2 linked regions of the Canis lupus familiaris genome follow. The protein of the gene in region 1 binds, or shares a complex with, the protein of each later gene. Links are inferred from orthologs where the notes say so. Each region holds a gene or a part of one and is shown in the gene's direction. Other genes may lie near its edges.

Evidence for each region.
Region 2: CDHR2 (region 1) and ANKS4B share a complex: the UniProt entries of both Homo sapiens proteins name them as parts of the IMAC/intermicrovillar adhesion complex. The link is inferred for Canis lupus familiaris from reciprocal best matches to the Homo sapiens genes CDHR2 and ANKS4B.

The regions. Positions count from the first base shown.
Region 1 is NC_049225.1:37,628,342-37,631,145, reverse strand, and holds the end of CDHR2 (cadherin-related family member 2), read left to right. Parts: intron 1-2,025; coding exon 2,026-2,163; 3' UTR 2,164-2,304; downstream 2,305-2,804. UniProt on the Homo sapiens protein: Intermicrovillar adhesion molecule that forms, via its extracellular domain, calcium-dependent heterophilic complexes with CDHR5 on adjacent microvilli. Thereby, controls the packing of microvilli at the apical membrane of epithelial cells.
Region 2 is NC_049227.1:24,443,724-24,447,223, reverse strand, and holds part of ANKS4B (ankyrin repeat and SAM domain-containing protein 4B), read left to right. Parts: intron 1-2,634; coding exon 2,635-3,500. UniProt on the Homo sapiens protein: As part of the intermicrovillar adhesion complex/IMAC plays a role in epithelial brush border differentiation, controlling microvilli organization and length. Plays a role in assembly of the complex.

The DNA.
Region 1 (2,804 bases):
TCAGTAGGTTAGATGGTTTGAGTAAATCAACAGTTCACACAGCCACAGCCTCACATGCCCATGAAGCATCCCAGCCTAGAAATTCTGACCCAATGGGTAGGATGGGCCTGGGCTCGAGCATGTTGTTAAAACTCTTGGGGTTCTAATGCGAGGATAGAGAACCAGGGAGTAGATCAGCAGGGGGTGGGGGGTATGTGGGAATGGTGCACAGGGATCTGGCAGTGACATTGAGGCCTCCAAATGGGCCCCCAAAGGTTAGGGTCATGGATGGCAATCCAGGACACCAAGCAGTGCTGAAGGCCTTTGAGTGGATGGCTTATCTCTGGTTGAAGATGCTTTGGGGAAAAACTCCAATGAATGTCTGGGGGAACTGAGGAAGAAGAGTTAGAACTTGTGGCCAGGCAGGTAGCCCCCAGTGGAGGCCAAGGCTGACTCTTGGGGAGTGGAGTTGGGGGCCTCAGGTGGGGCTGGACTTGTAAGTTGGGAGGGGTAGAGAGCCTGGGAGAAGAGTCTGGAGAGGAAGAGAGGCTGGGCCACTGAGAGCCTTCAAAAACCAGAAAAGAGCCTGTCCTAGGATGATAGAGGGGTTGCTATATTTCAGAGAACCTGCCCAAGGCTCTGCTGCCTCTCCTCTAACAGTAGGTGGGCCTTGGGGTCTCTGGGTGAGGAACACAGGTGGGGCCTTTTTTCAAGGATCTCTTGGTGCCCTGACTCACCCAAGACCTCCATAAATGTGTGGAAGGTCTGAGACAACTGACCGGTGATCTAATCCAATCTTCACAAGCAACAAAGGCCAGAAGGCTCTGGGTTCTGACCTGCCTGAGGTCAGAAAGCTTACAAGGCAAGGGCAGATCAGAACTCAGGTCTCCTGTCTCCAAGGGCAGGTTGAATTTTCCTAGGCTATGCTGCACCAACAGCTACCACTGGGGAGCCTATGGTGCGGACCCTGGGGAGCCCTGATTCGTCCTTCCTGGGGCCCCTCAGATGTTCCAGTTTACCAGGGACCAGAAGAGCCCTAGTCTGGAAAAAGCCCGTGGAATGCCCTGGAGAGGATGGCGGCTGGGGCTCTGTCCCCTAGGTGTTTCTGTGTTGGTGTAGCTGAGCCTGGGGGATGGTCCACAGGAGGGTGTACTTTTTTTTTTTTTTTTTTTTTAAGATTTTGTATTTATTTATTCAGAGAGAGAGAGAGAGAGAGGCAGAGACAGGCAGAGGGAGAAGCAGGCTCCATGCAGGGAGCCCGACATGGGACTCGATCCCGGGTCTCCAGGATCACACCCCGGGCTGCAGGCGGCACTAAACCGCTGTGCCACTGGGGCTGCCCAGGAGGGTGTACTTGTGAGGAGGTGTGAGCATGTGGCCAGTTGCATGGGGAAGGGAAGAGGAAAGGCAGGAAGATGAGTGTGTGCCATGATAAACTGCAAGTGGGGCCCTGGGAGTGATGCGTCCCTCTGAGGGTGGCAGAGGGAGATGCCAAATTCAACCAGGGCAGCAATCAACAGTCTTTAGAGCCAACAGGACCAGTGATCCAAAACTTGCTCTGCCTCTTCCTAGCCATGAGAGCCCTCTGAGCCTCAGTTTCCACATCTGTAATGTGGGGTATATGATCCCTCCCTCAGCGGGTTCCTGTGGGTACTTTAGGTAACGGATAGACTGCACCCAGCACAGTGCCTGCCTCAGGTGCAGGCGGCAGGAATTGGATTGGACTGACTCCATGGCACAGGACAGTCTGGTATTATTCAGGACTGGGAAGAGCACCAAAGTCCTGCTGTGTCCGTGGATCAAGGCAAAGGCCAGAGTGGACCCCCCCTCAAGCCCACCCCCTCAGCTGAGCCCATCTGCACTATTAGTGGCCATGGCCACCTCTGGGACACAGCTAGGAAACTGAGGCCCCAGGAAGAGCAGGTGGGACCCCAGTTAAGGAACCATATGCCATGGGCTTGAAGGCCCACCCCCATGCCCCTATGGACTGGGGAAATCACCCCATCCCCGCCCTGCACATCTTCACATCTTCCGTCTTCCCCACAGAAGGAGCCCACACACAGTCCGACAGAGCAAGATGGGGAACCTCTGAGTGTGGTGCTGTCAGGAAGGAAGACGGGCACAGGTGGACAGCAGGAGAAGCTGTCCTTCACCAATGCTGGCCTGGACACCACAGACCTCTGATGTCCCTGCCACAGGACCTTTGCTGCAGAGCGCCACATGGGCCCCCACTCTTCTGGTCCACCTTGGAGGATGTCTTGTCACCCCAAACTACACCGACCCTTTTCTGAACACAAGGATAAATTATGCAGCTCGGTCCCCTTCTGCTTGTAGTCAATCACAGCTGACAAGAGTTGGGGGGGAATTTTATTACCAATGTATATTGTGACAGTTTATAGCCAAAAACTGTGGCTGGAGGGCTGGGGACAGGGGTATTGAGTGGTCAGCGGGGAACTCGTGGGGGCTCACAGCACACAGGGACAAGGGGTGGGAGATGGCAGTCTTTAAAGGACAACTGTGGTTGTAGAGTGAGCTCTCTGTCCTGCCCCTAATACCCAAGACCAGCTGTCAGGCTGCCTGGGACCCAAGACCTTCCATGAGCTTCTTTCTGACTGTGATTCCCAGACCTGTCTGAGACTCTCCTTTCAACTGCGCCCCCAGGGCATTCCTGCAGCTGCCTTCCCCTGTCAGGATTTGTGAGTAGGTGTCCAGTGAGGATGGATAGGGCTGGGGGCTGGGCCAGAGGAAGGGGAGACAGGAACTGGGGACGTCTACCAGCATGCAAGACAGTCTGGGGCCATGGGGGCCAGCCCACTGCATGGACA
Region 2 (3,500 bases), on another chromosome or scaffold:
CACCCATATGTGCATCTGTTCATGCTGTTCTCTGCTCAGAATGAAGTTGCCAACTACCAGCTTATGGGCTGGATCTAGTCCACAAATATGTTTTATTTGGACTTCACTGTATTTTTCTTTTAAATTCAAGCCAACATCTAAAAATCAAAAAATCCCACATGAGACTGTGGATTTCTGGCTCTGTTTGGAAAATGGAAGCTCTCACTATATTGTGTCTGCTTTTATTTGAGGTGGCAGTCAGTTGCTACAGAGTGACAGCTCTTCTTTTCTGTTGGAACTTGTACTCAACTATGACTTTGGCTCCATTTAGTTACTTACTTACCTGCTTGGTTTCTTTAGGTTAAGACTGAGACTTCTGCTAGGAGATATGATACAAAGGACAAAAAGACATAGGCTTGGCCCTTTGAGTCATGTTATCTAATCAGGGAGGTTGGTGCATAAAGGTTGAACAGATTAAGTAAGATTTTAAGTGTTAAAAAGTTGCAGGAGCTATTATAGCACTATGGGAATTTATTAGATGGGTGTGAGAAAAAAACAAAGATATGAAATTAAGGATTATGAGTTTAGAGACAAGGGAAATGATAACAATGTTTATTGAAGATTTACTATGTATCAAGCACTTTTCTAGTGCTTTATGTCAACTTATTCACATAACAATTCCATAAAAACTATTCTCATACTCATACAGATGAGGACACTGAGTCCTATGAAAGTTAAACTTGAGGCCTCATAGCTGGTGAAGTAGAAAAACTGAGGTGTGTTAAGGTAAGGCTGTATTGTATTGGAGACTATTAGACTTGGAGGCAGGCCTGATCCAAAGTGTGCTCCCTGTGCAACAGTGGACAAATCAGTTAAGTACTTGGAGCCTTATTTTACCCCTCTGATAATTATCCTGGTCTTTCTCTAAGAAGGAGATGATGATGGTTGTTGGTGGTGATGGTACTGAATGTATAGATACTTCACAATTGAAAAAATGAGAGGAGATTAGGGGTTCCTAGAGAAGAATTACAAATCTGACTCATCAAATTATTGGACACTGGTTGGGCCACATTAACCAGTGCAGCTCTTCTCAATCTGCAATGAGCCTATATACCACCTTGGGATCTTGTTAAACTTCAGATTCTGATTCAGGACATCTGGGCTGGAGTCCAAGACTTCACATTTCTAGCAAACTAGCAGCTGCCACTGCTACTACTAATCCAGAGACCAAACTTTGAGTAGCACAGAATAGTGGAAGGGTCACAGAGCCTTGATGTAGTAGTTGCAAGGGCACGAATCATCTCCCCAAGAATGTCAAAAGGCTTTCTCAGACCCTCTCTCCTGTCCTTCCATGGGCCAGCCTGGGGGAAGTTTAGTGAGATCCTGATTTGGGAGTCTAGTCTAGGGTGAGGGAAGATGCCCTTTAGCACCTGTATTAGCAGAGTTCTCAGCAGTGGTTTGGGCTTGGGGCCAGAGTCATATTAACAATAAGTTACTTCTTTACTTTCTGTTTGTGCCTATTTGTAACTCAACATCTTACAGGAGGGCTGGGGTTGTAGTCTGGGGCAAGACTTCATTAGGCATTCATTCATCTCAGGAATGCTTACTAAGCATCAACCATGAGCCAGTTTCTATGCTGCCATGGGGTCTCCAGTCTTAAAACCATCTAACAATGCCCTCAATTCCACCATAAACTATTGCAGAACTATTCACATATATGACATTGTAATTGCATGGAAGTGAGTTGGAGAATCAATGGAGATGTTCTACTCTTTATATGAATAATGGTTATATCAGACACAGTTTGCTACCTACCTAACATCCATTCCCCTCTCTTTTTTTTTGCTGGTGGTAACCTAGTTTTGTTTATTATTATTTATTTTCCTACATGTGACTCCAGTGTTAGAGTAGGAAACAGCTCTTACCAGTTTATGAGATGTGATTGCTAAATTTTCAGGAAGTCTGAGAGTCCATTAAACAGTCATTATTAAAAATAAAGGTATTTAAACTTATGACTTAACAAATTATATTTTTAAATACTCAAAAATTATCACTTCCTAATTATTTGAGTACATTTTACTGTTATCTATACTCTTAAAGTTTTGCATATCTATTATATCTACATATATGGTGGAAATAATTTATAAAGGTATGCTTTTGGACATCTCTTCCAAATTCCATGTCCTGTCTTATCACATTAGTACCTTGAATTTTGTCATGGTGGGTGTATTTATAACACAAATATTGGCACATGCTATAAATCAGAACTTCGATCTTTTCACCAGTTGTTAAGCATTTACCAGCATACCACTACGTAATCTTATTCCTAGCTGCAGAGTAATCAACTTAAATTTAAAATGATAGCTCTATTTCTCTTCTTATAGGCATGATCGATTGCGGACAATGAGACATGAAAGTTGCTTTTTGAGGGTGTTCTTGGAAAGCTTTTCTTCTAAAAAGGAGACAAAAGGGGATGAGCTTTTGTTTCTGATCATGTGATGTCTAGATAGATGTGACATATCTGGACTTTCAGAAGTTTTAGAATGCTAAGGCAGGATTAATTAAAATGTATTTTGTTCAGTTTTGTTTTGTTTTGGACCCCATGTTCTAAGAAAAAAATGTTTTTATATATATTTTTGGTATTTTCTCTTCTAGAGGGGATCCCAATAGATGTGACATCTGGGGAAATACTCCTCTACATTATGCAGCTTCCAATGGTCATACCCACTGTGTTTCATTCCTGGTTAACTTTGGTGCCAACATTTTTGCCCTGGACAACAGCTTACAGTCTCCGCTGGATGCGGCTGCCAGCAGAGAACAAAATGAATGTGTTGCTCTCCTGGATAAGGCTGCCACTACCCAGAATATCATGAACCCCAAGAAAGTTACCAGGCTGAAGGAGCAGGCTCAGAAAAATGCTAGGAGGCAGATCAAAGAATGTGAGAGGCTCCAGGAGAAGCACCAAAATAAAATGGCTCGCAACTATAGCAAGGAAGAATCTGGGACTCTTTCTTCTTCCAATGGCACATTCTCCAGGTCATCCCTTGCAAATGCTTCTGCTTCTGGTACATTTGGGTCACTGTCTAAGGGCATTAAAGATACCTTCAAGTTAAAGCTCAAGAAGAACAAAGATACAGCAGAGCAGGTAGGGAAAGAGAGCAGAAGTGGGCAGAGGAATGTGATGGAAGTGTTCAGAGAAGAGGAAGAAGATGCATTCTCAGGGGACTTCCAAGAGAAGCCCCAGTTCTCAGCAGAGGATGATGGATGTGTGCAACATGAATCCATTCTCAACCGTCCAGGTCTAGGAAATATTGTTTTTAGAAAGAACAAAATATCAAGTCCCGAAGACATGTCAGACATCAAAAGGGGGTTGGAGTTTAAAATGTGCAGTGAATTGCTTCAGGGACAAGGAGCAGCTGAGGTTGATGAAGCTGAGGCAGATAAAGAGGGAGAGGAAAACAATCATGACGATGATCTGCCTTGGGATGAGGATGAAGTGGGGTGGGAGGAAGATGTGGTTG